Linked DNA regions of Tamandua tetradactyla. The protein of the gene in region 1 purifies or fractionates together with the protein of each later gene. This does not show direct contact. Links are inferred from orthologs where the notes say so. Each region holds a gene or a part of one and is shown in the gene's direction. Other genes may lie near its edges. The genes, in order: LCK and SH2D2A.

Evidence for each region.
Region 2: the proteins of LCK (region 1) and SH2D2A purify together in Homo sapiens (co-immunoprecipitation; 3 studies listed by IntAct, with this or other methods). This does not show direct contact. The link is inferred for Tamandua tetradactyla from reciprocal best matches to the Homo sapiens genes LCK and SH2D2A.

Annotation. Positions count from the first base shown.
Region 1 is NC_135328.1:193,637,723-193,653,084, reverse strand, and holds the start of LCK (tyrosine-protein kinase Lck), read left to right. Parts: upstream 1-8,226; 5' UTR 8,227-8,380; intron 8,381-15,362. Other genes in the region: myotubularin-related protein 9-like, read right to left, coding at 443-669, 1,143-1,316, 1,432-1,557, 1,790-1,898, 2,077-2,261; protein FAM167B, read left to right, coding at 5,092-5,343, 6,000-6,230. UniProt on the Homo sapiens protein: Non-receptor tyrosine-protein kinase that plays an essential role in the selection and maturation of developing T-cells in the thymus and in the function of mature T-cells. Plays a key role in T-cell antigen receptor (TCR)-linked signal transduction pathways.
Region 2 is NC_135330.1:9,785,589-9,801,786, reverse strand, and holds the start of SH2D2A (SH2 domain-containing protein 2A), read left to right. Parts: upstream 1-7,674; 5' UTR 7,675-7,982; coding exon 7,983-8,016; intron 8,017-8,600; coding exon 8,601-8,764; intron 8,765-9,545; coding exon 9,546-9,730; intron 9,731-10,231; coding exon 10,232-10,321; intron 10,322-10,539; coding exon 10,540-10,708; intron 10,709-13,514; coding exon 13,515-13,664; intron 13,665-13,924; coding exon 13,925-14,233; intron 14,234-15,952; coding exon 15,953-16,120; 3' UTR 16,121-16,123; exon of another isoform or gene 16,124-16,198. UniProt on the Homo sapiens protein: Could be a T-cell-specific adapter protein involved in the control of T-cell activation. May play a role in the CD4-p56-LCK-dependent signal transduction pathway. Could also play an important role in normal and pathological angiogenesis.

The DNA of each region.
Region 1 (15,362 bases):
GTCTGGACCAGTTGTACGGTCACAGCCCCCGGGCTCAATCAGTGTTGTTTAAACAGAATTTGTATTCTAGAAAGGGGAGCAGTCCACTCAAAGCCCCCAAACTCCTTCAAGACATCCTCTTGTCACTACCATTGGTTGGAGACAGAGGAAACATACCCCTGTGCAGACCCTCAGGGCAGGGTTGAGCACAATGGGGAGTCCAACGTATGTCTATGTATATAGGGGGCTTGTTCCAGGAAGACAAATTTCAGTTTAAAGTCAAAAGGCCAGGATGCCTACAGAGCAATAAGCTCTATCAGTGGGGGTGTGCAAGTAGGGATATCCACTTAGCAGGATGGCAGTCTCCAAGGTTCCTTGCAGACGCACCTTATCACATACACCAAGAGTTCTGCAGGAGAGAGCCTTCCTAGGAAAGGATGGGAAGCCCCACGGTCTCCCTCACCTCTCCAGGGGCCGATGCAGCCGTTTCCAGCCAGGATAGGCAGCCTTGGCCTCGGTGCCGCCGCCAGTAATGCGGGCCTGTTTAGCCTCCTGAGCCGAACGCGTGTCTAGGATGAAGCCCCGAGCCTCAGGCCGAGCCCCAGCCAGCACAGCCCGCAGCAGCAACTCGTCTTCTCTGCAGCGCCGCTTCTGGGGCCCGGTCAGCGGCTGGCTGGAGCGTAGCAACACCTGCAGGCAGGGACCCTGCTCCAAAGGCCGTACCCACCCAACCAGGCTCAGGGATTGCGCTCCGAGAGTCCCTAGGCCAGGTCCACAGTAAGGAGAAGGGCTAGAGCTGGCAAAGGCTGGAGCGTCGGGGCCTTAGGGGCGGAACTCCGAGGGGTCTGACCCAGGTCTGGGTGGGTTCGAGGCAGGATGGGGAAAGGGACCCAATTAGACCGTGGGAGGGTCCTGTATTTGACAAAGAAGGGACTAGGTTTCTAGCGGCCCAGACTGGCCGTGGGCGGGGTTCTGGGAAAGGCAAGACCTCGAAAAGCCGGAGTGGGCGAGCCAGAGGGTGAGGGGAGGCGTCTATCGAGGGCAGGGTGGGGCCGGGCCAAAGAAGAGCAGGATCCCTCGCAGAATTGGCCGGACCAGTACAGAAGGCCAAGAAGGGAAGCAGCTGGTCCGAGGGGCGGAGTCTGGGGAGGGGCGGGGCTCACGGTTCCGCTGGGAGCGTAGTAGTAGCTGAGCACCGGGCAGCGGCCTCCCTGGCGGAAGCGGGCGCTGCGCGCCAGGGTCTGGTCGTCCACCGCGCGAGGCACGATCACCGCGCGAGGGTAACTGGGGCACAAGCTGAAGTCCTCGTTCGCCTCGCTCAGCCTCCACGCGTTGGTCTGCGGCGCAGGGAGGGGTGAAGGCCTGAACTAGGGCAGCGAGTGAGTGTGCGGTCCCCGCCCCCCTTCCAGGCCCGACGTTGTCTTATCCCCAGGCCCCCACGACCGCGCCCACCTCGCGAGCTATTCGCTTGTAGTAGCTTTCGGGCGGGTGAAAGTGCCAGGCGTCGCCCAATCTCAGGCCCTTGGGCCGGTAGAAGAACGGAAAGGAGGTGATGACCGACTCCAGGGAGGACAGCGCCTGGGGAAGGAAGTCAAGGGGTCCGGGAGAGTCGGAATCGACTCAGCCGCGCCTCTCCAGGCCCTCCGCTCTGCAGCTCCCGCCTCCCCACAGACCCCCCTGCGTGCCCCCGCCGTTTAGTTGTGTCCAGGGATGACATTGGATGCGCATTTCCCTCTCAGAGTAGCCTTTTTCACTCCCCTCGGTACAGCACAGGGATTGCTTAAAGGCCTCTGTCGCGCCTCAGGCGTACCTCAATGGAGCGGGCGATGTCCAGCGTCGCTTCCACACCCTCTATGTCCAACTGGAGCACCCGCAGGTCCTTACAGCGTAGTGTGATGGTGCCCGAGTCACCCGCAACTCTGCGGACGGACGGTTCTAGGCTCAGTGTCCCCCGCTCCCCACCGGGGGAAGAGAAACGAGCCTTATCGGATGGGACGTTAAAGAAGGGTCTGGCAGCTCCAATTGCGCTTGCCCTTCCCCCTTTCCCTGCCGAACCGCGCGCTCCGCAACTTTGGGGATGCCCGCACCACGTCTCACCGCTTCTCGATGGAGTCGACACTGCGTAGCAGCAGCAGCCACAAGTCCGTGGTCGTCTGGGGCGCTGGCGACAGCAGCAGGTGGTGGCCGGTGACGTACAGCGTGCCGCGCAGCGGGGGCATCTCCGGGCCGCGCAGGAGCTCGGCCTGGGCCCGGCTAGTACGGATCAGTTCGGAGAACTCCATGCCGCGGGTGGGGGCCCTGAGGCCCAGCAGAAAGACTCCGCGAGCGGCAGGCGGGGCGCGCGCGGGCTCCTAAAGGGACAGGAACTGGCTGGGCAGCTGGCGACGCCGGCAAGACAGCTGTTAAGGAGGCCCCTCGGAGGAAGGAATCGCACAAGAATTTTCCCCTTCCTATTGTCCGCCTATTATGGGAACCTCGATTACCTCATCTGTGAAATGGGGAGAATAATCTTGCCTAAAGCTCTTACTCCAGTGCCTGGGTCGCAGGAAGCACTCAGTATTTTTATTTTTTAAACCCTGGAGTCCTGACAATATCGCTGACTTTAAAAAGAAAGAAAAATAACCACTTCTTCCTCTGTACTCTGATAAGAGGTCAGGAAAGAGTGGGTGTGAAACGGGGAATTGCCTTTTTTTCCCCCCATACATCTGAGGCTTGGGTGGGGGAAGTCCCTTGGTCTACCTTAAATGCAAGCAGCTGTGCAGCTAGCGCCCCTCCCCTTCCACAGCTGGAAGGCCCTGCGGGAGGGCGCCCTCTACGGGGGCCACTTTGGGCAGATTTCTGCCCTCGAGAGTGCCATCCACTATCACTCCATCCTTTCACCAAGTGTGTATTGCCCTCTGCGTTGCTGGGTCCTGTGTTAGGTGCTGGGAACCCAGGGCGGAGGAAGTTCTGATGGTAGGATTTCAGTTTGGCAAGAGACAGACTCACAATGGTCAATTACCAGGTTAAACCCACTTAATGGAAGACCCATCCATCCATTCATCCATCCAATTATTCTTTTATTCCGTAAACACTGATGCCTACTCTCTGTCAGATGCTTAATTACTAAGAAGAATAAGACCGACTCCTGCTTATAACAGACCTTTTGGTTCTCTAGTTTCAGACCTTTTTTCCTTTTTTTGGCAAAATCTTTCTTTTAAATGAAAAAATGAAATCATAGGTAGACCCCCATAAAATAAATATAAAATTGGAATTGTGGTATGGATAAAAACAGATACAAAATAATACAAATTATGAAGTCCAGACCAGCACCAGCACTTGGGAATTTATTAGAAAAGCAAAGTATCAGGCCTCACCCCAGTCGTACTGAATAAGAAATTTGGGGGATGGTTGTTGTTTATAGTTGTTTGTTGTTGTTTTTCCCCTAATATTAGAGAAGTGGGATGCTTACAGAAATATCATGCAGAAAATACAGAGTTCCCATATACCCCATTCACATACACTCTTCCCTATCATAAATACTTTATATTAGTGTGGTACCTTTGTTATAATTGATGAAAGAATATTATTATAAGTTAACTATATTAGCTATAGACCATAGTTTACATTAGGGTTCACTGTGTAGTACAGTCCTTAAACAACAGCACTATTCCGCTAACATATACACAACTTAAAATGTCCCCTTTTAACTACATTCAAATATGTAATTCAGTGGTGATTGCAGTCACGGTGTTGTGCTACTATCGCCATCATCCATTACCAAAACTTTTTTCCATCACCCCAAACAGAAACTATGTACCAGTTAATCATTAACTTTCCATTCCTTACCCCAACCCCAACCCCTAGGATACAGATTATCTAGTTTCCAACTCTATGAATTTGCTTATTCTAATTATATCAGTGAGATCATACAGTATTTGTGTCTGGCTTATTTAAGTAGAAAAACGCCTTCAAGATTCATCTATGTTGTCACATGTATCAGAACTTCATTTATTTTTAATGCTGAGTAGTATTCCATTGTATGTTTTTACCACATTTTATTTATCCATCTTATAGCAATTGTGAATAATGCCAGTATGAACATCGGTGTGCAAATCCAACAATCTATTTCAAAAGCCCTCCAAGTAATTCTGGTGCATGATAAAGTTTGAGAACTGCCAGAAATATAAAAATGGGTATAATTCTTATATCAGAGTTTAATCCTATGTAGTCAGAAATTAGGGCAGCAGTTACCTTTAGGTGAATAGTGAGGGGCCAGGAGCCCAAAGAAGGAATTCCAGGGTGCAGGTGATACTATGGCTTCATCTGGGTACTGGTTACATAGGTGTGGTCAGTTTATGAGAATTTCTCAAGGTGTGTAGTTATGTGCATTTTTCTGCGTGTATGTTAAATTTCAAATATTTCAACACAAAGTTTTAAAAAAGGAAACTATCTGGTTGAAGTCCTGTGAGGGGGCTAAGAAACCAACCACAACTCTGCCCTTCCCTCTGCCCTAAGGAATTTCCAAGGAACCCTAAGGCTCCTCAGAGTATAATTTGAAGTCATTGATCTGCCCCAACTGAGACCCAGAGAATGTCAGTGAGTTGTCCGAGGTCCTACAGAGTCAGCCCCAGAACCATGGTGTCCTGACTCCCAGGCCAGGATTCGGGACACTATTCCTTTGCCGAAAGGCCAGTGTCATGAAGGAGGACAGGGGCAGCTGGGCAGCCTTCTCTCCGCTACCCGCTCCTTAACGTGGGGCTTGGGAGGAGAGCCAACATTCTGTTGCGGATGATGCTTTCCTTATCCTGGAGCAACTTCCTTTCTGGGAACTGGGTGTCTCCTTTTGGGCAAAAACAATAAAATTCATCCAAGGGGTCAGAGGAGCTGGGCTCCTCCTGCCGCCTCCAGGATGGGCATCACGTGGCTCCCTGGGTGAGCAGTTCAGGAAAATCCCAGCCCTTGCAGACTCGGCCTCCTACACCCATCTGTTCACCCACGCTGTCACACTCAGCCCCCCAGGCCCACCTTGGACCTTCACAAACACCCTGGCATACTCCTTTCACCCCCAGCTTCTGCCACCTCTCCCTGGGCAATATTGCCAGCCCTTCCCTAGCCTATCCCAAAGCTCCCATGTCCTTGGGGCCACAGAAATTCCAGCCAGTCGGCAAAGAGGATGAAAAGGAGGAGAGCCTGGACTCTGTGAAGGCACTAACGGCCAAGCTGCAGCTCCAGACACGGAGGCCCTCCTACCTGGAGTGGACGGCCCGGGTCCAGAGCCAGGTCTGGCACAGGGTCCAAGCCAAGCCCGGGCCGGGGGGATCTGGAGCCCTCTGCGGCTTTGACTCAGTGGACTCTGCTCTTGAGTGGCTTCGTCGGGAGCTGGTGAGTCTGGTGGGGTGGGGCGCCTTTCAGAGGCCAGTCCTGCTTAGGGCCCAAGACCAAGGGTGTGGGGAGGGAGTAAGAAAGGACTCTACCCCCCAGCAGCTGCTTATTCCTGTGACTCTGTCCTGGGCCTAAGAAGCAAGGAATAGATTTGTCCTGTGTTTTGTTTAGGGAGCTCTGCTGAAAAAGTATCTGCTCCAATCAACTATATGCTCCTATCGTCCTGCTCTTGAGAAGGGCACCAGTTATGGGTGGGAGAAGATACTCTGGGAATTGCTGTATCCCGAAGATACACTGAAGTATAAAAGCAGGCAGTGACTAAGCTGTAGGCAGAAATCCGAGGAGCGTAGTATTGAACAGGTGGTTCTCAACCCAACATGTTGCAATGTAAAGATGCCCAGGCTTCAACCTGGAGATTATGTTGGCTGATCCAGGAGGGCACCCCAGGCATCTGTATTTGTTTAACAATAGCTCCCTAGCTAAGTTTGAGAATCACTGGTGGAGCCAGATCTGAAATGGGGAGGGATCAGGCTGGGGCGAGAGGAAGCTGGGACTGACACAACCAGCACAAAGGCCCAGAGTGTTGACAGGAAGGGATAACTGGCGTGAGGGCCGGAACTAGTCCAGCCAAGGCTCACGTCCCCTCTTGGTTGCAGCGGGAGATGCAGGCTCAGGACCGGCATCTGGCTGGGCAGCTCCTGCGACTGCGGGCTCAGCTGCACCGGCTGAAGGTGGACCAGGCCTGTCACCTGCACCAGGAGCTGCTGGACGAGGCCGAGCTGGACATGGAGCTGGAGCCAGGGGCCGGCCTAGCGTTGGCCCCACCACTGCGTCACCTCGGCCTCACACGCATGAACATCAGTGCCCGTCGCTTCACCCTCTGCTGAGGGCCAACCGCTGCCCTTTCCCCAGCCCGCCTAGGAAGGAAGAAGAGCAGGGTGCCCCAGAGGCCCCAGCACCTGACAGCGGGTGAGGGTGAGGGAGGGTTCAGCTCTCAGAAGTTCTGAGAGTACAATGCTCAGGCATCCTGTCATGTCCAGGTAGTGCCCTCTCCACCCCCTACCCCACCCCTACCTGGAGAACCCACTCCACCCCCCACCCCACCCCCGGCTTCTCAATAAACACCCTCTCTAATTTCCAACAAAGTCTCTGTAGTCATTTACTCATGTGAAGTGCAAGTGTCTGTGATCTGTCGCTGGGACCAGTGATTCCTGCAGGGGAGAAGGCCTGTTTGGTAGTGAGGAATCCCATCCCCACCAGAAGGTCCCGTTCTAGTTCTCTGTCTTATCTCTCAGCTTCTTTGCCAGAAACTCAAGCTCAGAACTGGGAAGTAATTTAAAATCCCAAGTCACCCGCACCTGGAAAAACTGGAAAGGTGTAGAATGCAGGATGTGGTAGACCTGGGTTCAAAGTCAGTTCCCCCATTTATTTCAATTAGACCTTGAGGAGGTCCCTCAACCTCCGAATCTGTTTTTTTACTTCTAAAATTGAGATACTAATTCTCACTCCAAGGTAGTCAGAAATGGCTTAAGTGAGATAATTCACAGTAAACACTTAATAAATGTGAGCTTTCTATTACTGGTCATTACTGTCACCCAGTAGCATTAGTACAATAGTGCTAATGGCCCAGAGAAGGACGGTGAGATGCTCAGGATGGCACAGCAAGGTGAGCAGGACCTTGTGCCCTGCCGCAGACCTGGAGCCCTGGCTCTGAGCAATGTGCGCTCTGTAAGTTTTTTACTTTACATCTCTCTGCCTTTGTTTCTGTGTTACTCTCTTTGTCTGGCTTTTCAACTCAGGCTTCCTCTTCCCCCCACCCATTTCCTGCCCCCCTCCCACCTTCACAGCTGAGGTGCACACAGAATCAGCTTCCATTTCACAAACCCCAACAATACTCTGTGGGTTCCCCTCCCCCAGCTTGCTCAGGGCTCAGGCCATGATGGTGATGCATTCACACTTTCCTTGGGTGGGGTCAAGGCCCAACTCTTGGGCCTGCCAGAGTTCACCTGGAGTTCTTCAGATTCCTGGTTCCTGGCCCTCTGCCCATGACAAATGCCACCGTCAGACTGGCCCCAGGCAAAAGGGAGGTCCTTGGTTTGCCTGCTGCTCATGACAAGGATCCTGCCTATAGCAGGAAGTTCCACCAGTCTGCTGCCTGCACCTGGGTGCCTGGGCAGCAGAGTTTGTTCTGCCTTCCACCTGTTGCAGATGCTGGCAGACTCTGCATCTCTCCCAGGGGCTGTGGCCTTGCCTCTCCCTGAATTAGAAGTGTCGCCTCACTTTCCAACCATAATTAGTACGTATCGCCCTGCCCATAATTCGTAGGGTCTGTTACTCTGCCCTTCTGAAGATGCAGTGTTGACCTGCCAGCTTCCTGAAACCGGGTTGTCCAGGATTTTGTCTATAAGAGGGGTTTTAGCCTAGCCTCTGACTTTAATAAAGCACTTGTCCTGTCCCCTGAGACAACATGACTATTGCTCTACCTACCGATTGTAGCAACCCAGTGAGCTGCTGTCTGACTGTGCATGGGTGTTGTTTAAATCTCCAACTATTGAACAGAGGTGCTGTCCTTTCTGCTGACTTTGAAGCCGTCAGACAGCAACAGTGGTGCTACCTGCCTTTCCCTGTAAGCTGAGCCTGTGTCTGCTTGCTCCTTGCTTGTCCCTGCTCGTTGGGCTCAAGGGCTGTCCAGGAGCACCCTGCGGGCCAGGACATGAGGTTCCATCCAACATTCATCTTCTAAGTGCTCACCCTCGGGTAAGTCGGGCCTGCCCCTGGAGATGTATGGGACCCCCAGGGGCTGAGGGGCGGGGGGCTATGGCAGCAGGAAGCTTGGGGTGTTGAAGGCTTGTGGTTGGGCTGCTGGGGCCGGGTTGGCTGCGGAGTCCTCAGGAGGAGGCAGGAAGTCAGCGTGGGACGTGGGCGCGAAGAGGTAGGCAGAGGCTACGACGGCGAGGGGAGCTGAGACCAAGACTGGGCAGCCGGGCCGGGCCAGGAGGACCATGTGAATGGGCCGGAAGGCTCCCGGGCTGGGCAGGTAAGGGGAACTGGGAACAGGGTAAGGGGAACTGGGAACAGGGGTCTAGGGGCTGTGGCGTGGTTGGGGATGACAGCAATGAGCCTGCAGCTGAGCATGGGGTCAGGCGTCCCAGGGTAGGCAACAGCCCTTCAGGCTGGGGGACAGAGAAAGCTTGCTGGTGGTCAGGTGGAAGGCATGGAGGGCGACTGGTTCACCTCTTTCCTGCATAGTGGGTGGCTCTTGCCTCTGCCACACTATCCACCATCAGTCCTTGCCTCACTGTTTCTTAGAGAGCTGATACATGGAATGTCAGATATTTAAAAGGCCTTCAGTAATCATCAACTACAGTTCCTTATTTGACTTAGGAGGCTCCTGAGACTCTGATCAGGCAAGATGCTCATTCCCCACGGTGCCTCAGCAAGGCAGTGGCCGGGCCACGATGGGAACGCAGTGCTCTGGCTTCACTGGGGGAGCATAATGGCCTAGATCGAGACCCCCACACCACCCTCCCTGGAGTAGAGTGATGGACAGGTTTGAGTCCAGGGGACCCAGGAATCTTCTGTGTCCTGTGGCAGATCTAGTGACCATAATCTCCTGAGAGGAACCACCCAGGGCATCCGCATGGAGGCATGAGCAGCAATTTTATCTTCAGTGACCAGCATTACTTGAGAGAGGGAGGGGTCGCCCTATAGGAATGGATGGCTACATAAGGGGATATTTATGATCTGGATTAGACTCTCCAGGGTGAAAGTATCTGCTCTGACTCTGGGAAGTTGGAGGGGGAGAGGATGATGGGAGAAAAGGAGAGGAAGGGTTATTTTTATCCTGGACAGGGTGCAGTTGGCTGTGGGCAAGGAACTCTGAACTTCTCTCTGGAGAGTTGCCACTCCTGCCTCAGCCAAGAGTTGCAGAATGTCCTCTTCACTCCTCTTGTTCCCTCCTGCTTCAGCCCTCAAGCGGCCGCTGTATGCAGGCCAGCTAGGCCCTCCGAGTCCTCCTTCCAGCCTAGGGAAGTGGAGGCCCAGGAAGGCATAGTCAGCTACCCGCCCACCCGCTCACATTCTACTTCTGAGCCTTCAGTTTAGTGGGGGAGTCCCCTACCTCAACCAAACATCCCAGGTTCCCCTGCCATGTCCTCCGCCACTGGAGTTTTTCTTAACACACAATTTCCGCCTAGTCAGCACGTCCCAGCCTTTCCTCTGTCCCCAGGTCCGAGGCCTGTGGGGGCTGGAAATGTGTTGGCTCATTGGTGCTGCAGGGGGACTCCTCCACCCCCTGGCTGACTGACATGAGCAGTCCCTTCCTTTCCTGTGCTAATAGATGAATCAGACAGTGGCCCTCATCTCTCCCTCATCTTTGGGGCTCAGGGACAGAGGCTTTTCCCAAAGGGAGGAAGGGCTCCGTAGATAGGGACAGAGAAAGGACCGAGGGTTCAGAGGCGAGAAGGCTTCTCTCAGGGGGATCTAGAGGGCTTCCTGGAAGAATTAGGGCAGTTTTAAGAAGAGCAAAAACCCATTTTGGAGAGAGCTTGGGACGTGAAGCCAGAATCACCATCCCTGGGCTCTCGCTGTTCCTTGAGTACCATGAGGGTAGAGACCAAAGGTAAGAGAGCCAAAGGTGTCGCGTAGTGCAAGGGGCACGCGTGTTAGATTCAGGCCGACCTAGGTACAATTCCGGTTTTGCCATTTCCTTGGACGAGTGGCTTCACCCCCTGTATTTCAGTTTCCTTACCCGAGGCAATGATAAAGCCCTCCCTTACTGAGTGCTTGTGGGGAATCAAAGAGAAAATAATGACCGTGACATGCCCTGGTTAATACCTGCCACGTAGAAGGTGCTTAACGAAAGTTCGGTGCTCCCTCCCCATGCATACGCTGCAGCAGAGGGAAGGCTGCCCTCGCCCAGAATTGTACCCACTCAGCACCTTGTCAGGCCAGTGAGCCACCCATTCCCTCAACCCTTGTGGTGTAGCTTTGCATATGAACTTGTTGTTTCCTGTGTATAGTGGGTGTGAGAACTCAGGCTGGCTGGATTCTGGGCTACCTCTGAGGTCAGGAGTCTACCTCAGAGGGGGGTCCCACAACATGGCCTCCCTGTCCGAAACAGGCTGGATATCATCATGAGGACATGTGTGCATGTATACTCAGAGGCAGAAGCAGAGGCTACACACACAACACACCCGCACTGGTAAAAATCAATCCCCACACCCACAAGCCGATGGCTTCAAGGTCAGGTTCAACTCAGCAAACGCAATTCTCAGGGGAGATGGGTGGGGGTGGACACAGGCAGGACCAAGATACCATCCGGGGCCGGCGCCTCTAACAACAAACTGCACGGTTAAAGTACACGGCGCTGCATTTCCCAAGCTTTTTCCGTAGAACATTAGTTCCATGAGGCACCTGGAAAGGAAAGGGCTCTGGGGCCAGGTACACATGGCTTCAGTTACAAACTCTGTCCCTCTGTTTCACAACCAATGTCAGAGCGTTAGAGCGTTGAAAGTATCCCCCAAGAAAAGAAATCTGATTAATTTAGTCTAGTGCGGTTTCCCAAATTTCCTTGGCCGCAGAACCTTTTTACGTAGTGACCTTTTCCACGGGCTGCACCTCTTGAGATGGGTATGGCGGAGAGAAGACGGGCTGCGCAGTCGGTCTTCCTCAAATGATGGCATCTCTTGGTAGAGTTTTTCCATTAGTAGCGGTTTTGTTGTTTTTCTGTTCGTTTTTCATTTACAGAATTAGCACATGGGTGTTTTTAAAAATTCAAAAAGTACAGAGACATATAAAAAATAGAAGAAATGTGTCCCCTCTGGTCCACTTCTGGAATGTGCTCGCTTTCAGCAATTTGGTGTGCATTCTTCTAGACTTTTCCACATATGGCTGCTTAAGAGCACAGCGGTTAAGAGCCTGCACAGTGGAGGAAGGCAGAGCAGACCGAGGTTCAGCTCACAGGTCCACCACTTGTTTGTTGTGAGGCCTCAGACTCCTTACCCTCTTTGGGTCTTAAATTTCCTTTTTTTTTTTCAATTATTATTTTTTCTTTATTAGAAAAGTTGTGAGTTAGCAGAACGAGCATACATACAATACAAGATTCCCACATACAGCCTATTATTAACCCCGTGCACTGGTGTGAAAAATTTGTTACAGTAGATGAAAGTACATTTTTATAATTGTGCTATTAACTAAAGTCCCCGGTTGAACTTAGGATTTGATGTTTGAGTAGTGTAGTTTCATGGATTCTTTAAAAAAAATTCTATTCTATTACCATATGTACAATCTAACATTCCCCCTTTTAATCACATTCAAACATATATTACTGTGCTGTTAATTGCTTTCACAATGTTGTGCTACCATCACCATTATCCATTACCAAAACATTTCCATCTTCCAAACAGTAACCCTGTACATTTTTTGGGGGGGGGGGTGCTCAGTTTTTATATCTGTAGAATGGGAATAATGGTAGCACTTACCTCATAAGATTATTGTGAGAATTACACGAAATCATGCAAATAGAGGTTTAGCACAGGAGCTGGTGTAAAGGAATTCCCCATATATACGTATTTAAATGCAAATAGGCCTATTTTCTACATTTGGTTCTGCAACTTGCTTGCCATGTTATCTGTGGACTCTTTTTCCACGACAACATATGGAGCTCTACTTCATCGTTTTAATGGATTTAGCTACCTCTTAGCTTGCGAATGGGTAATGGTGGTGAATTTGAGATGCTGCTACCAGGCAAGTGGAACTGTTTTGCATTGACAGTGTTGCTGGGAGTCACAGACAGCACCCATCAGCGAGCTGACGACAGGCTATATGGTTTCCTAAGAAAAGGGAGTGACCTGCGAGAGCAGTGCCCGCCTCTATCACAGACCGTGGGGCCGAATGGACAGGAACCCCTTTTGTCTGCTCACCTCTGTGTCCTCAGCACTAGTGCAAAGGCTGGCACGTTAAGTTTTTGCTGATAGACCCACCAGCTAAAAAAACTGGGTCTCCTTCAACCCAGGGACAAGGGCCCAATCCTAATGTTCTCCCTCGCAGTGCAGCATTTCCTAAAATGTGACCTGTCCACCATTGATGTGTATGAGCTGATTTCAGGGGATAATGGATGGATGTCTAAAAATGTTATTTTGTGTATTACATTATGTGTTTATTTTAATGTGTACCGATTTGTACTATCTATCTATGGCTGGTGATACTGGTTTACATTTATGGTAATTTAAAAGTGTTCCTTTTAAAGTAAATATATTACAACTGAAAAAGTAGTCCGTGGACGTGGCAAAAATCATATAAAATGAAGGAAAATGAAAATGATGAATTAGTTTAGTCTGGAAAATGTGTGAGACTGGTGCAATAAATGTCCCACCCCAGTCACAAACAACAATGATTCTTATTTATTGAGTCCTTACTACATACCAAGCACCATGTTAATCTCATATAATGTTTACTACAACTCTAGATGCAGCTCCTATCTTTATTCCCATTTTGTAGATGAAGGAACTGAGGGAGGCTCAGAGAGGTTTAGTAACCTGTCCAAAGACCTCCTGCCAGTGAGTGTGATTGGAGACCTTGGGATTAAAATCGGGTCACTATGACATGTGTGTGGTGAGCTGGACCTCGATGACTTGCAGATTTCCAAAAACCTTATAGAGCAGCACAGATTGCCAAGCCGTAAACAAGGCTCTGTCCTGATAGAACCACTATAACGTAAAAATGCACATAGATCGACCCAAGGAAGGAAAGTCACTGAAAGGAATTGCATGGTACATACAAGATACTAGTTAGGGAACCTCTACCCAAACTACCACCTTAGAAACATGGTGCTATAGCCCTTATTTATTGCATAAATATGGAAGAATCAGTTTTATATCCAAGTCACTCCCAGTTCATATTAAACCTGGCTTGCTTCGCACCTAAAAGAAGGTTTATCTTTTTGTTTCTGCAGCCAGAAGCCACCAAGTTCATTCAAAAGTGATATTCTATGAAAAAAGGAGGGCACATGGGACACATCTTTGCTTTACCCACTGGAAATTATTTACCCAGCCCACCAACCCTGATTCTTGAGTACTGTAATGAGGGTTCTGTGTGGGCATTCACAACTAAGGCTCTTCATTGAACATATGCAACTTTGCCCACAAGCAAATCTTGGCCAGAAACAATGGCCAAGAAAATCTTTAAAATTATTCCTGATACACTTTGCCACAAGGTGTTCCAGAGGACAAAATGGCCTGTAGTGGAATAGCTGGTATGTTCTTGACCTAAACTTTAGCCTGAGAAACCCAGGCAAGAAGAAGGCACACATTTTTAAAAATTTATTTATTTATTATAAATAAACAAAGCCAGGTTTAATTAAGAACAAACAAACAAAAACATTAACATTGCATTCCGTTCTACATATATAATCAGTAATTTACAATATCATCACATAGTTGCATATTCATCATTTCTTAGAACATTTGCATCAATTCAGAAAAAGAAATAAAAAGACAACAGAAAAAGAAATAAACGATAACAGAAAAACAAGATTATACATACCATACCCCTTACCCCTCGCTTTCATTTATCACTAGCATTTCAAACTAAATTTATTTAACATTTGTTCCTGCTAGTAAGAAGGCACACATTAAAAAAAAATTCTTTTATTAATTAAAAAAAATTACAGAAAGAAACACAAACATTCCCAATATGTGATCATTCCATTCTACATATGGAATAATCAGTAATTCACAATATTATCACATAGCTGTGGATTCATCATCCTGATCATTTCTTAGAACATTTGCATCAATTCAGAAAAAGAAACAAAAAGACAACAGAAAAATAAAATGAAAACAGAAAAAAAAAAACCATACACACCATACCCCTTACACCTCCCTTTCATTGATCACTAGTATTTCAAACTAAATTTATTTCAACATTTGTTCCCCCTATTAAGAAGGCACACATTTTGAACAGAATAAATGAATAGGTCTATAGTTTGAGGAAAGGAAAGTGGTATCCTTTTAAAAAAAAAAGGTGGGGGAGGATGCACCTTGAGCCCAGCCAGACAAGATAACATCTGTGGAGTTGATAAAAGTGAATAAGTTGGCAAGAACCAGAGTTATAGTGATATGATTCCTAAACAACTCTGGGATGAGAAGATCTAGTTCATGAGCTTTTCTCAACCTGGGATTTTTCAAAAAAATATTTTTATTGATACATCTTAACATACAAACATAAATCATACATGGTTTACAATCAGTGGCTCACAATATCACCACATAGTTGTGCATTCATCACCATGATAATTTTTCGAACATTTGCATCACTCCAGAAAAAGAAATCAAAACAAAAAACTCATACATACCATACCCTTTACCCCTCCCTCTCTTTGACCACTAGTATTGTCATCTAACCAATTTATTTTAACCTTTGTTCCCCCTATTATTTGCTCATTTTCCGTCCATATTTTTTACTGATTTTTTTTTTGTATGCTGTATGGCAGGGTCACATTTCATTATTTTTCCAAGTGAGTATCCCGTGATTGCAGTACTATTTGTTGAATTTTTGTTTTGCTTGTTTGTTTTTGGGGAAGTGCATGGGCCGGAAATTGAACTCAGGTCTCCTGCGTGACAGGTGAGAATTCTACCACTGAACTACCATTGCACCCCCCAACATCTATATTTTTTACTCATCTGTCCATACCGTAGATAAAAGGAGCATCAGACACAAGTTTTCACAATCACACGGTCACATTGTAAAAGCCATATCATTATACCATCGTCTTCAAGAATCAAGGCTGCTGGAACACAGCTCAAGAGTTTCAGGTACTTCCCTCTAGCCACTCCAATATACCATAAACTAAAAAGAGATATCTATATAATGCATAAGAATAACCTCCAGGACAACCTCTCGACTCTGTATGAAATCTCTCAGCCACTGACACTTTATTTTTCCTCATTTCTCTCTTCCCCCTTTTGGTCAAATAGGCTTTTTCAATCCCTTGATTCTGGGTTCCAGCTTATCCCGGG
Region 2 (16,198 bases), on another chromosome or scaffold:
CGCATCTATTTGAGACGTGGTTTCACTTTCTTTGGGTGGATGCCTAGATGTGGAATTGCCAAGCCGTATGGTAAATTTCTAGTTACATTTTTGAGGAACCACCATATTGCTTTCCACCGTGGCTGCACCATGTTATTTTATTTATGTATTTATTTTTTTACATGAGCAGGCACCTGGAGTCAAACCCAGGTCTCTGGCATGACAGGTGAAAACTCTGCCACTGAGCCACCGTCGCCCGTCCTGCACCATTTATTTTATTTAAAAAATGGTTATTCACATAACATATATACAACCTAAAACTTCCCCTTTTAACCACATTCAAATATATAACTCAGAGCTGTTGATTACTCTCACAATGCGATGCTGCCGACACCACCACCAATTACCAAATGCTTTCTGTCACAATAACTGAAACTGTACAATTTAAACACTAACTCCTTATCCCCTACCCCTACTCTGGCCCCTGATAACCTGTATTCTAGTTTCTGATTCTATGAATTTGCTTATTCTAAATATTTCATATCAGTAAGAGCATACAATATGTGTCCTTTTCTGCTTGGTTAATTTCACTCAATATGAGGTCTTCAAGGTTCATCCATGTTGTCACATGTATCAGAACTTCATTCCTTTTTATGGCTGTATAATATTCCAAATGCATGGATATACCACATTTTGTTTATCCATTCATCTATTGATGGACACTTGGGCTGTTTCCATCTTTTGGCCATTGCGAATAGTGCCACTATGAACATTGGTATGAAAATATTTGTTTGAGTCCTTGCTTTCAATTCTTTTGGGTATATACCTAAAAGTGGAGTTGCTGGGGCATAAAAATGGTAATTCTGTACTTAACTTTCTGAGGAACTACCAAACTGTCTTCCACAATTGCTGCACTTTTTTACATTCCCACCAACGATACACTAGAGTTCCAGTTTCTCTGCATCCTCTCCAACACTTGTTATTTTCCACTTTTTAAATAGTAGCCATCCTTGTGGGTGTGAAGTGGTATCTCTTGGGTTTGATTCTCATATTCCTAATGATGAGTGATGTTGAACACCTTTTCATATGTTTATTGGTCACTTGTATATTTTCTTTGAGAAATGTCTACCCAATCCTTTGCCCATTTTTTAATTGGGTTGTTTGTCTTTCTGTTGTTGCTTTATACAAATTCTTTATATATTCAGGATATTAAATCTTTATCCAACATATGATTTGCTACAATCTTCTCCCATTGTCTAGGTTGTCTTTTCACTTTCTTGATAATTCTCTCCTATACAAATAAGTTTTTGATTTTGATTAAATCAAATGTATCTATTGTTTTTTGATGCTCATGCTTTGGGTGACATATCTAAATATCCATTCCTAAACACCAGGTCATGAAGACTTGGTCCTATGTTATCTTCTAAGAGTTTCATAGTTTTAGCTTTTAAATGTAGGTCCTTGAGTCATTTTGAGTTGATTTATTTTTTAATGTGGTGTGAGGAAGGGGTCTAACGTCATTCTTTTAGAACTGCATATCCAGTTTTCCCAGCATCATTTGTTGAAGAGACTATTCTTTCCCCGCTTGCATACTTAGAAATCTTGTCGAAAATCATTTGGCCACAGACATACGGGACTCTTTCTGGACTTTGTTATGTTCCATTGTTCCGTTTGTCCATCTTCATGCCAGCGCCACATTGTTTTGCCTACTGTAGGTTTGTATGGGGACGTGTGAGTCCTCCAACTTTGCTCTTCTTTTTCAAAATTGTTTTGAGTATCTGGGGCCTCTTATGGTTCCATATGTATTTGAGGATTGGTTTTTCTATTTCTACAAAAAAAGGGTGTAAGGTTTTTTATAGAGATTTCACTTAACTTGTATATTGCTTTGGGAAATATTGACATCTTAACAATAGTAACACTTCTGTTCATGAACATGGGATGTCTTGCCATTTATTTAGATCTTCTTTAATTTCTCTTGGCAGTGTTTTGTAGTTTTCATTTTACAAGTCTTTGGATCCTTGGTAAAACCTATTCCTAGATATTTTATTTTTTAGATGCTGTTTGTAAATGGAATTGTTTTCTTAATTTTCTCTTCAGATTGTTCATTGCTAGTTTACAGGAACCCAATCAATTTTTTCAACTTTGTTTATTGTGTAGTATAACATATATAAAAAGCAAAGAAATAAAAAAGGAATAGTTTTCAAAGCACTCTTCAACAAGTAGTTACAGGATCTGTTACAGGACAGATCCCAGAGTTTGTCATGGGCTACCATACGATCCTCTCAGATTTTTCCTTCTAGTTGCTCCAGAATATAGGAGGCTAGAGGGCTTAAATATTATTTTTATCATCACATTCAACGTTTTTTTTCCTTCTTTTTTTGTGAAAAATAACATATATGCAAAAAGCAATAAATTTCAAAGCACAGCACCACAATTAGTTGTAGAACATATTTCAGACTTGACATAGGTTACAATTTCACAATTTTAGGTTTTTACTTGTAGCTGCTAAATACTGGAGACTAAAAAAGATATCAATTTAATGATTCAGCATTCATATTCATTCGTTAAACCTATCTTCTCTGTATAACTCCACCATCACTTTTGATCTTTATTTCCCTCTCTTTAGGGATGTTTGGGCTATGGCGATTCTAAATTTTTCATATTGGAAGAGTCTGTCACTAATATGGGGTAGGGAGATGGAACTATCTGATATTCTGGAGAGGCTGGGCTAAGGTTTCAGGACTTATATGGACCAGGGACCCATCTGGAGGGAACTCAATTGATTTTTGTGTGTTGACCTTTTAACCTGTCACTTTGCTGAATTTATTAATTTTCTTTGAACTTGATATATATAAAATTATGTCATCTGAAAACAGAGATAGTCGTACTTCTTCCTTTCCAGTTTGGATATCTTTTATATATTTTTCTTGCCTAACTTTTCTGGCTAAAACTTCTAGTACAATATTGAACATCAGTGATAAAAGTAGGCATTCTTGTCTTGTTCCTGACCTTAGGGGGAAATCTTTAAATCTTTCACCATTGATTATGATGTTGGCTGTGGGCTTTTATAAATGGCCTTTATCATGTTAAGTTTCCTTCAATTCCTACCTTTCTGGGTGTTTTTATACAGGAAGGGTGTAGGATTTTGTTGAATTCCTTTTGTGTATCTACTGAAATAATCATGTGTTTTTTCCCCTTCACTCCATGTATTTAGTATTACATTGACAAATTTTGGTATCTCGAACCACCCTTGCATTCCTGGGATATAGATATTTAGTTTACAGATTTTTATTGAAAATGATGAATTCTAAATATAAGAACTGCCATTGTTATTCTTTCTTTTTTAAATGTCATTTTACTGAGATATATTCACATATCAAATAATCATCCAAAGTGTACAATCAGTGGCTCACAGTGCGAACACATAGTTGTGCATTCATCACCACAAACAACTTCTGAACATTTTCTTTACTCAAAAAACAAATATACATATAAGAATAAAAATAACAGTGAAAGAGAACGCTCAAAACATCCCATGCCCCTTATCCACCTTCCCCATTAAGGACATTTTTTGTCCTTATTTTTTACTCATCTGTCCATACACTGTCTGGATAAAGGGAGCATCAGACACAAGGTTTTCACAATCCACAGTCACACTGTAAAAGCTGTGTCGTGACACAATTGTTTTCAAGGATCAAGACTACCGGAACACAGTTCAACAGTTTCAGGTGTTTCCTTCTAGCTAATCGAATCCACTAAAAACTGAAAAGGGATATCTATATAATGCATAAGAATAACTTCCAGAATGAACTCTCAGCTCTATTTGAAATCTCTCAGTCACGGAAACTTTATCTTGTTTCCTCTCTCTTCCCGTTTTTGGTCAAGAAGGCTTTTTCAACCCTTTCAAAAAGACTGTGCTCTGGTTCCATCCTCAGTGGTTCGATGTCTCTGAGGTGTGACCTGGGAATCAGCACTTTTTGAGGCCCCTAGGGGATTCAACAGGCAGCCTACACTAAAATTGCCACTGCAGTACACTCATACACGTGCAAAATATGGGCAATATTATTCACTGAGAATTATTTCTAACCGAAGATTAGAAATACATGAAGCCCCACCAGCAGGGGGCTTATTCTTTCTTTTTGACTGAATACTCTCTCACTGGGAAACTTCAAATTAAAAATATTTTCCAAAACAGTAAAGCTAGAATGTCTAAGTGAGTTTGTTCCTAATTTCTCTTTTCAGAGCTATGGCAGAGGCATTTGGTGCGTCCAGAGCATCCACGTGGCTTCTACACATTTTCCAGGTTCCTTCGCCATCAGGCTGGGGCCAACTAACTAATTCTACCCAATGAAAAGTACCAAAGCAGCATGTGTCACTTCCAGGCTGAAGCAGTTAAGAGCCGGTGTGCCTCCTCCATCTCTCTCTTTCCCTGTCATGGCGATCCCTCCATTCCTGATTTATAATGAACACCACATGCCAGGGCTATGAGGTCACACAGGGTGCAGGTGATGTCACCTCTAGGTCAGTCCGTACGGGATAAACCTTGACCAATGAGAAGTGAGAGGCAAGACAGAGTTGAACAGATAATTCTTCCTGTTTTCTCCCTTTAGTGGACGATGCCAAGGTAGGTTTCATCTTACACCCTCTCTGGAAAAAGTCTGCCAAATGAAAATGCCTATCAAGCAACTGGCTGTTTCTGTTTGCAATTCGTTTTGAAGTGGTAGCCAATGCAGCGCTATTGTTTTGCATTCGTTTTATTGTGGCCATGCTTCTCTTTTTCTTGGTTGCAGCTCGCAATGAAGTGTTAGCACCTTGATTCTCACCCTGAGCTCTGCTAAAACACCTACTAACCCTGTGCTCACGACTGGATAATTGAGTTGCTATTCTTCCCCACCTGCAGTAGACAAGATTAGGCCAATATAGCTGGTTCTCCTCCATTTCTGGACACAGGGAAAAATACACATCCCTGACCTTTTGAAATTAGGCATCCCATGTGATCTGCTTTGGCCAATGAAGAGTGCAGAAGTGGTGTGTTTCACTTCCAAAAAGGAAAGTAACATTTAGAAACCAGTGCATAATGCTCCGTGCTCCTTTTCCCCAGTCACAGAGATTGCAGAAACGTGTGTAGATATGGAGGCATCAAAAAATCTGGGCAGCGTGGAAGGCTGGACCACCACTTCTGCCACAGATGCCCTGAAGAGATGTCCAGACTTGCAGTGAATTTGCACAGGTGAGAAACAAATGTTTGTCATGTCAAGCCGCTGACATTTTAGTGTTCTTTATTACGTTAAGTTATGCTAACCTAGCCTAGCCTAACTGATTCCATCTCGCAAGCCGAAAGAAGGGGCGCTCAAGAGACTCACTCACAGTGTTGGGAGGAGAGCTTCAAGAAGGGGATGTGGCATCTTGTCACCTAGCTAGATGGTTGCTCAGCCCGCCATGTGTTGCTTTCGATGCAGAGCACACTGAGGGAAAGCATTCATCATCCATTCACTCAACAAATGTTTACTGAATACCTACTATATATCAGGCACAATTCCAAGGGATGGAGAAACAGCAATGAACAAGAAGGCAGATACTATAAATGTCCCCTAGAGTCTGGGAGCCTTTTGTGAACCTAGATAGCTCTTACCTAAAATTTCTGAAGATGAGAGCCTTGCTGGAGCAAGCTATGAGAGCAAGAGAGGAGGGATATGGGGTACCATACCCAAAGAGCAAAAGGGGAGGGCAGCCCCACCTCCTTAAGACTCTAGAAGGGGGAGAAGACCCAGCAGTTTCCTTGGCTTTAAAGCCCATCTGCTATAGTCACACACTCATCTGCAACTACCCCTTACATCACACCATTTCACATGTTGGTGCATTTGCACATGCTGGACTCTCTTCCAGGAACACTTTCCCATCTTCTTCAACTTTACTCACCCTCCATGGCTCTAGCTCCATCTCCTCTTCTGAAGTTCCAACCTCCTACACATTCTTTCTTTTTCTCTCTCTCACTTGCTTTCTCTTGCACAAATACACAAGTTTGGACAAGGAGCCTCTGAGGTAGGTTCCCATCGCACCAGCCCATACCACCAACTCACCACAGGCTTTATAAATATCTGTTCAAGTTCATGTCCTCTACCTGGCCTCCTGAGGGCAGGGACATAGTCCTTTAGCTCTGTCAGTTCTCAGCCTAAAGAAAACAGTGCCTGCCCCAACCAAAGCCATTCCAGCCAATCCTAAAGAACACCTAGGACAATATTTAAGATTCCACAAGGATTCCATGCACTAGGATAACTTTTCAGAAACCTACAACCTCCAGACGGCTCCCTGGACCAGGTAAGTCCTGAAACCTAGAGGGCCCAGCCTCTCCAGACCATCAACCAGTTTGATCTCCCTACCCCATATTAGTGACAGAGCCCTCCAACATGAAAAAGTTAGAATGGCCATAGCCCAAACACCCCTAAAGCGAGGGACAAAAAGATCAAAGGTGATGGTGGAGTTATACAGAGAAGACAGAATTTAACAAATGAATATGATTGCTGAATCATTAAACTAAGATCTCTTTTAGTCCCCAGTATCTTAAAGCAGCTAGAAGTAAAAACCTAAAATTATGGAATTGTAACCCATGTCAAACTCTGAAATATGTTCTGCAACTAATTGTAGTGCTGTGCTTTGAAATTTATTGCTTTTATAACAATAAAAATATATGTTATTTTTCACACATACACAAAAATGTCGATCGTGATGATAAAAAATATATTTTAGCCTTCTAGCCTCCTACATTCTGGAGCAGTTAGAAGGAAAAATCTGAGAGGATGGTATGGTAGCCCATGACAAACTCTGGGATCCTGTAACTACTGGTTGAAGAGTGCTTTGAAAACTATTGCTTTTTTATCTCTTTGTTTTGTATATATGTTATGTTTTACAATAAAAAAAGTTAGGAAAAAAGAAAAAAGAACAGCGCTTGGTCCATCTCCATGGACCACTGGCCTGAATCACGGTAAAATTAGTGAAAAGAATGATCAAAAGTTACGAATGTTTGCATTTGTTTACTTTTTTTTGGTATTTAAAAATAAATAAATAATAAAAAATTTAAAATATTAGTGAAAGGAGATCGAGTTTCTGGACCCAGTTGGGCCACTAGCTCCTAACATGCTGAAAGAGCCTAGGCAAAGCACTCAACCTGACTCAGCTTCAGCTGACCCTTCTGGAAAACTGAGATAATGTTGTCTGCCCTCTTCCTAGTCTGCGAGGATCATATGAGACAGAGTGGTCCTCTAAATGGGGAGGGGCATGTGCACACTACATGTGGGCATTCATGGTATTAATGAACAATAACTAATATCGTTCCTGCTTAGTTGGAGGAAATTCTCCCACCCTTCTTCCAAGATTGACTGGTTTTGCCCTAACCCAGCTCCATGATCCGCTCATGGATGGAAGCCAGGACCCTTCCTCCCTATTCCCTTGCCTCACAGTTTCCCTGTGACCCCAGAAAGTCCTTCCAGAAGTCTGACCCACGTCCTTCCTGCTGCAGCCCCAGCCCCTCCTCATGTGTTCTGGGAGCATAAGCCTGAGTGTGGACCTCTGAAGGACCCGAGCACCCTGCAGGGCTGATCCCTCTGAGGTTGCATCGCATTCCCACTGCAGAACGGACCAAAAGGCAGGGGTGCATTTTCCAGAGAGAAAGCAGAAGCCTAGAGTGAGAGGGAGAAATTCAAGTCCCAGCCTGGGGTGGGGAGTGGAGGAAGAATCAGGAGGGATAGGGTTCAGACAGCAGAAAGGACTTCCCAGCACCCAAACACCCTCCCTCAATGGGCCAGCTTCCGGGGGGAGGGACGATTGTCTTAGGGCTTTCCATGACGTGGGTCCTCAGCCGGGGCTAAGGCCGTGGGTGAGGCGACATTTCCTGCCCCGGGGGCCCCGAGTGAGAGGGGAAATGAGTTGCTGAGTGTGCACACACCTCTCCAGAGCGCACACACACACACACCTTGCTCCGGAAGCTCCCTTCTTAGGCTCTCCCCATGGAGTGCCCCCTGGCCCAGATATGCCCTCAAGGTAAGTGTGAAGTTGGAGAATGTGGGTAGGAGGGGACCTCGAGACAGCCCCAAATCTCTCATCATCCTGCCCTCTCCCGTGGGCCAGAGCCCCCCACTGCAGGCACGAGAGCCCCACTCCAAGCCAGAGCTGGGCAAGGCTGACCGCCAGGGCCCCCGCCCCCTTCCCCTTCTCGGTGACTCCAGGTCTGCTCATCCTGAGGATAAAGGTGATGGGGTTTGCTGAGCGCTTCACAGGGAGGAGAGAGGAGTGAGCTGGAGAGATGAAAGAGGTGGCCGAGGGCTCTGGCCCCAAAGACAGGCCTGCCCCAAAGCGACCTGCCTCCCTGATGGTGGGACTTCCTGGCCACCAGAAGACCAGCTTAATTCCCGGCGTGGTCCCTCCGTGTCTCTTTGGCTCCTTATTGCTCATCCCTGGAACATCCTCCCTGCTGTCCCTTCTGCATTTCTCCTGCTATCCTAAGGTCCCCATCCTGGTCCCTTGTCGGAGGCAGGCAGGACCCCCTGAGCCTGGAGGAGGCGTGGGAGGGAGCGGGACAGGCAATCCTTCCCTGAGAAACCCAGCAGTCCTCTTTGTCCCGACAGGGAGTCGCCAAGACCCTGCCCCAACCTTCAGCACCTTCCAACCCAGGGACTTGGCCAACCTGAGGAGCTGCCAGGGCCTGGGCCTCCCCACCGGGTCCAGATCCCAGGCCCTGGAGGCCGAGCAGGCCCAGCCCAGCCCCAGGGCCCTGGATGTGCATGCCGCGGTGAGTGGGGACTTGGGGGGCGCAGCCCACTCATCTGCTCCCAGCCTCCCACGGGTGAGGTCTCGCAGATAGACAAAGGGAAGGGAGAAAGCAGGAGTGAGCGACAGGGGGCTGCCGACAGGGCAGCGGAAAGGAGACAGGGCCTACCTCTTGCATCTGCTGAGTTGCCCACTCGCCTCCCACTCACTGCTCCTCTGCCCCTGGGAAGCTTCAGGCTGAGCCCCCAGTTCCAGATCACAGTGCCTTTAGTCCAATTAGCACTCGACAGCAGCTCTCTGCCGGTGGCCTTCATCCACCCTGTGCATTCAGGAGCCCCATCTCAGTCTCTCGCACCTTCTCAGTTCATTGGAAAGTCCCATCTGTGGTCCAGCTTTGGTCCTTCCTACCGTAGGGTGAATTCACCCTCATTCCTGGCCTCCCAGGTGGCTTCACGCCTCATCTCTCTGCAACCCCCGTCCCCAGGCCAGGGACTGACCTTCTGTCCATCAGGAAGGCCAGGATGCTTGTCTCACCCTCACTGAAGCCCAGTGACGCAGGGAGTCACTGCTGCTGGATGAAATACCCTTTTGACCGAAAGGGAAGTGGACTTAAGTAAGACCCTGGGAAGGGCTTTCTAGATAATTACACCCTTAAGTAGGCGATTGGAACAGGTGGGCCTTCGTCCTCCTCATGCCCGGGAAGGGCTGGACCTGAGAGTGAGAAGGTGGCGGCTGGCCTGGAGTCAGGGGAAGGCCCGCTGACGGTGGCTGCTTCCCCCTCCTTGGACTCGTCCCCTAACCAGGCATCTCTCCAGGCCCTGGGGGTGGCCTCCAATCCAGGAGAAGCTGGGAAAGCCGAGGAGCTGCCTGAGGAAGGGGGCCTGTCCCTGCAGGCCGAGATCCGGGACTGGTTCCAGAAGACCCAGGCCCACTGGCTCGTGCAGCGCGGGGCAGCCCCCGCCTGGTTCCACGGCTTCATCACCCGCAGGTGAGTCACAGAAGAGGAAACAGGCCTGGAGAGGAGCACGTCCTGGGTCCCTTGGCTGGTTTGGGACTGAGGCGCTAGTCTCCCGACTCCCAGACCGTTCACTAAGGCTTCTCTCCTGGGGGAGATAATGAGAGAAGCTTGAGCAGTTGGGTCCTGTGCCTCAGTTTCTCTCTCTAGCCGCATTATCCTCCTGTCTTAAGGCCTCCAGCCCTTATGCTTTCCGCCTCTCTGTTTCTCGGTCTCAGGTCAGCTTGTGACTTCTGAAATCTAGAAGTCTACCTACTAAACGCTTCTGTTGCAGCCCCAGCCCCCCAGGCGGACCTCCTGACGGGGACTCTCAGTCCCTCTACACCCCCAGTTCTCCCCACCCCCACCCTAGTCCTTTTCTAGGCAATTCAGGGTGCTCTGTTGGGGTTGGGAGGCCCCCACGAGAGCCGGGGAGACAGGGCGAGGCCCAGAGGGTCAGAGAGGGGTTCCGTCTCTTCTCTCTGCCACCCACAGGGAGGCCGAGAAGCTGCTGGAGCCCAAGCCGCGAGGATGCTACTTGGTGCGTTTCAGTGAGAGCGCCGTGACCTTCGTGCTGACTTACAGGTGAGGGGGCGGGGCGGCGCCCTGGAGGCGGGGCTTCGAGTTGAGAGGGGGCGGGGTTTCGCGCTGACGGACGTGTGAGGGGCGGGACTCTTCGCTCCTCTCCCGACCGCCGAAGGAACCGCATCCTAGCTGGGCAGGGCGGGGGAGGGGTGGCGCCTAGCGCCGGTGGCCCCCGCCTGGCAGTCGGAGCGGGTCCGACCTCGAATGGCGCCCTGCAGGAGCCGGACCTGCTGCCGCCACTTCCTGCTGGCCCAGCTCGGGGACGGGCGCCACGTGGTGCTGGGCGAGGAGAGCGCCCACGAGCGGCTGCAGGACCTGCTGCGACACTACACCGCGTGCCCGCTCAGCCCCTACGGGGAAAAGCTCACCGAGCCCTGCGCCCGCCAGGTATGCCGCCCACCCCCTACCCCGGACCCTGACCCCGGGACTCAGGCCAGCGCCCAGCGCCCCCGGCGGAGTGCCTGTCCGCTCCAGGCACCTTCTCATCCCAGCAGGCGACCCACCCTGGCCTCATTTGTCGTCACCACTCCTGGGAAGCCCTTCGAGAAAGATGAGCACGCGGAGAGGGGTCCTAGCACCCAAAGACAGGAGGGGCAGGGAGACAGCAGTTAGGCACATAGTCATTTATTTATTAAATATCAAGACACTTACTGGGTACCTACCATAGCCCGGCATTGTTCTGGGAAGCAGGAAAATAGATGGGAAAATATCATTGCCTTCATGGGACTTACATTCTGATGGGCGGAGACAGACAGTGAATAAGTAATACAGATAACAAACAAATAATACATATGTAAGGTCATGATAAGTAAGTGCTGAGAAGAAAAACCAAGCAGTGATAGTTGACAGGGTTGGGGCTCTTTTACCTAAGGACATCAGGGAAGGCCAATCTGGAAATGGCACATTTGAACTGAAGCCTGAATGAAGTAAGGGAGGGAGTGGAGCTTACAACTGGAGGGAATGCATTCCAGGCACAGGGAACAGCAGGTGCAAAGGCCCTGCGATAGGAGGATGCTGGATGTGTTTGAAGAATAGTGAGAACAGCGAGGAAGTGAGCTTGAGGGTGTGCGGGTGATTGAGGGGTAGAACCACAGAAGACTAGATCAGAGAGGTAAGGGAACAGGACCCTTGTAGACCCTTGTACAGATTTGAGATTTTGTTCTGAATGAGATGAGATGGGACTGGAAATTTACAAGTTGAAAAATGACATGACCTGGCAAGTTTGGGAGGGTCAAGGATGACCAGATGAGGCTACGACAGTATTTCAGATGAGAGGTGAGGAGGGATTGGGTGATAGAATGGTGGGTCTGTTTTGAAGATGGAGGTGACAGGATTTTGCAGGATTAGATGAGTGTGAAAGGATGGAGTTGTCATTGACTGAAGTGGAAAGACATAGTAGAAGCAAATCTGGGGAGGAGGTGTAGGGATTAGATCAAGAGTTCAATTCTCAACATGCATAGTTGAGATGTCCATTCGACATCCAAATGGAGATGGCAAGTAGGCAGTTGGAAAACATGAGTCTGGAGTTTGGGAAAGAAGTCAGCGCTGGAAATAAACATTTGGGAGTCATGAGCGTGTAGATGGATTCTGAAACCTTCAGGAGGAGCAAAATCTCGCTCATGGGTGTGAGATTAGATGGAAAAGAAGTAAAAGCCAAGCCTCCAGCATTTAGAGTTTGCAGAAATGAGGAGAACCTACAGAGAAGACTGAGAAAGAGCAGCCAGAGACAGAAAGAAAAAAAACAGGAAAGAATGATGTCCTAGAAACCAAACAAAGTGAGTCAAGGAAGAGGGAGTGCCAGTAGGTCAAGAATTGACCATTGAAGTAAGCCAAGAGGAGTTGGTGACTTTGACAAGAACTGTTTCAAGAAGCTTGATTGGGGTCAGTTCAAAGAAGTAGGGACAGTGCCTTGGGCACCTCTCATGGAATCCTGTGAGGACTGGGCAGAGACCAAAGATACCCAAGCAGCAGAAACTGGGTCTAAGGACATATAGGGCTGAGGAGGAGCCAGCGGGAAGGAGTTTGACGGATAATTTGGGAATTGGGGCAGAAACCAAGCCCGGTGGCCCCAAACTCTATGAAGAGTCTTGTAACTCGTGCTCTCAGAAGTGTGGACTTTGTCCTAGGGGCAGCACACAGGCACTGGAGAGTTGCAGGTGAAGTTTCTGCAAGATTCCTCTGCCACCCTAAGAGGAGAAGGTGTTGGAGGGAGCAAGAGAGGATTCAGGGGAGCAGTTTGAATTGGGGTGGTGGGCATAGAGACAAATAGGCAGATGTGAAAGATATTTAGGCAGTGAAAGGAGTAGGGCTTGTATTTGATTAGATGTAAGGAGGGAGCGAGAGAGGTGGAGCTATTGAGGTTGACTCTTAATGCAGATGCCCCTTTTTATTCATAAAGGGAATGCAGAGAGAGTAGAGGTTTTGGGCAGGGAGAAATAATTCTGATATGGACCCACGAAGCCTGTGGTGCCTGCACATCTCTAGGTGGAGACATCTACATGCATGACCATAGGGAGAGCCCCAGAATCTTGGCTTACCAGAAGGAGTGGCATGTGCACAGCTTTCATGAACCTAGGGCTAAATCCTGAGCTGAAAGCATAGTAACCTTCCCACTGTGAGGTTCATCTCCCCTGAGGCTGTCTCTGCCCCTACAAAAATCAGGCTTCTATCTCCATAAATTATGATTCTCTAGAGCAAAAGCTCCAGAGATCTCAGGGCCAGTTTTCAGCAGGGGGAGGGTGCACACCGGCCAGGGTCTGTGGGGCGGGTGCACACCCATATTCCCACATGAGCCTGTGCCACAACGACTGGGAAGGGGATAGCTCCACTCAGACTGTCATCTGCAGAAATAAACACAGACACAGCATATGCCGAAAAATTTTAGTCTAAAGACTTCTAAAGCTTTGTTGCATTTTTATATGCACAGATGGAGACCAGCCTGGCCCTGTGTTCCACGTGAAATTACATTTAATGCTAGATGTGGAGAGTGACACCCAGAGCGACCCCCACCGCACCCCTCCCCCTCCCCCTTGCCATCTCCACACCCCTTTCCTGACCCAGGGAGCCCAGCCCCCAGTTCTGTGCCACTACCACCCTCTTCCTTGGCTTAGACCAGGCTGTTTTGTCCTCCTCCATCACCTGCCTCCCAGTGCCCTCTGTACCAAGTCCCTCAGGCCACCTCCTTTCCTGGCAGACTGCGGAGCCCGCAGGACTTTCCCTGAGGACTGAAGAACCCCACTCTGGAAGTGAAAACCAAGATCCAGGCCCCCAGTATAGCCCAGTCTCCAAACAGGGCCAGGCTTCCTCAGCCCCACCGCAGGAGGCTGCAAGGCAGCCCAAGGAGGTATTGGGCTGGAATGGCTGACCGAGGAGGAGGAGGCTGGACCCCAGGAAGGGGGAGGACAGAAAAGGAGGAAAGAGCTAGCTGGGAGGGGCAGGGCTGGTGGGGGGTGGAGGGGCTAGTGAGGGGAGGAGGGGCTCAGGCTGGGAGGGGAGGGGCGGGGAGGGGGGAGGAGGGGCCCAGGCTGAGACTCAGGTTCCAGCTTTGGCCCTGCCTGGATTGCTCTGAACCACCTCTCCTGCCGGCCACACCTTCTCTCCTAGGCCTCCCAGCTGCCCAGGCCCAAGCCTCCCATCCCGGCCAAACCTCAGCTGCCCTCTGAAGTCTACAGCAGCCCTGCTCCGCCACCCCGCCCAGCTCCACCGCCACCTCCCAAGCCCCCCAACCCCATCTACCACGAGCCTGATGAACCCATCGCTTTCTACGCCATGGGCCGCGGCAGCCCTGGGGAATCCGCCAGCAACATTTACGCCGAAGTGGAGGTGCCCACGTCAGGGGGTGAGGACCTGCTGCCCATCCTTGGACACCCCATCCTAAGGAAGTGCCGGTCCAGGCCTGTCCCAAGAGGCCAGGTAAATGGGATGCAGGGAAGGGTTAGACTATAAGAAGGACTTCTGAAAGCTGGGTAGGGGAGAGTAAAGAAGGTATTGAGATTGGATGCCTGGGTCTGAGGCCTGAGGCAACAGACCCGGAAATTGCTCCCTCTTCTCTCCTCAAGTCACTTGGAACTGCCCCCTTTTGTCAAGCTCCCAGCCCCTCCACTTCTCAGCATGTGGGAACTTCACAGAGAAAAGAGGGGCCCCCAGGCAGTGTGCCCCCCCGCCTTCCCCCACCTGGGCCTGCAGCCTGTCCGTGTCCACCGGTCCATCAGGTCCTCTTCACACCGGCCCGAAGCTGACCCCGCCCTGGGCCGTGGGTCCCAGCCCCCGCCTGCACACGCCTCCCTCAGCCTTCCTTGGGCTGTCTCAGATGAGCTCAGCGAGGGGGCAGCCCCACCCTCCTGCACACTCCTCCCTCCCTCTTCCTCATCTGCCCACCCACAACGCCCATCCCCCCTCTTCTCACGGATCAGTCCAAATCAGTATCTCGGGTCATGTGACCTGTGGCACCTACTGGCTATTCCCAGCCTCCCTCTCTGCCTCTGCCCCCATTCTTCTGACCCTTCCCCTCCCTCCCTGCTGGCACCCCACACATCCCCCACAGCCCCAAGCCTCACACTTGCCCATGCCTTGGCCAACCACTGCTATCCTTGAGCTGATGTTACCATCCATGTCTCCAGCCAAACTTCTCCCAGTCTTCTGGTCAGCTCCCCTGTGTCCCGCGGACCCTCAAAACTAAATACAGCCAACGCTACCCCCACCCTTTGCCCGCACAACGGCCGGCCCCTGTGCTTCCTTTCCTTACCGATTACTCTTCAAGCCACAATCCCCGGGGCTCCCTCTACCTCCCCTCCCTCCTCAGCCCTACCCCACCACTACCCACCAATTCCTGCGGGTGTCTACTAAATATATTTTTCATTTCTCTAGTTCCACCCACCATCATCCCTCACCAGGACTTTTCCAGGAGTTTCTTAACTGGTCTCCTAACCACCAGTCTTGCCACTTGCAATCCACTATGCCCCAAGAAAGCCAGAGTGATTTATCTAAAGCAACTGCCTGGTGCACGAGGCCCTTCATAATTGGGGGGGGGGGGGGCCGGGGGAAGCATCCCCCACCTCCTCAGCCTTGCCACCGGCTGCCCCCGTCTCTCCAGAACTATTCACCTTTCTCCATACAAATCAAGTGCTTTCAGACCTCCTAGGATTTGCACAGTCCAGACCCTCTGCCTGTAGTCGCTTTCTGCAAGCTCCCCCCTGCTGCCTGGCACACTTCTAATCAGGCTTTAAGACCAGCTTGCACTTCTTCAGGGAACAGGGTCCATCCCTGCATTATGCACACCTGCCGTGGCACTGATCACCTGGGACACCCACCTCCCTCCCACCTCCTTCTCCCCCTGTCACCTCCCATCACCTTCTGTCTCTCCACCATACCCCAGTAAAGTGTGACCTCCCTGAGGAAGGGGCTGGGACTTACTCATCTCTGTTTCCAAAACATCTGTGTGTGTTACAGAGACCAGATGCTGAGGAAATGTTTGTTGAAAGGAATGAATGTTAGGGCTCTGGATCCCCCACCCCCACCCAACCCCCCCACATAGAGGCCAAAATCTATTAAAGTCTTGGTTCTTGAGGTTATAGGTAGGCTTAGAGGCAGGGACTGGGGGGTGTGACCCAGGCCTCGTCCTTCTCTCTGCAGAATCCACGTGACCCACAGCTGCATTCTGAGAACTCTGTAGCTGGACAAGCCCTTCCTCTGCCCCGCCAGCCCCTGCCCCCCTGGGGGCACACCCTCCCCCACAACTTTTCTAGACTGGTGCTCCAGGACGGAGGGCAGGCATGGCTCCCCCTGGGGCCTCCAAAGTAGCTGGTGAGTTTGGGGGACAGGGAGGATAACTTGGAATATCGGGTCCGGAGACCTTCACACACACCTGGGCACCCTTCT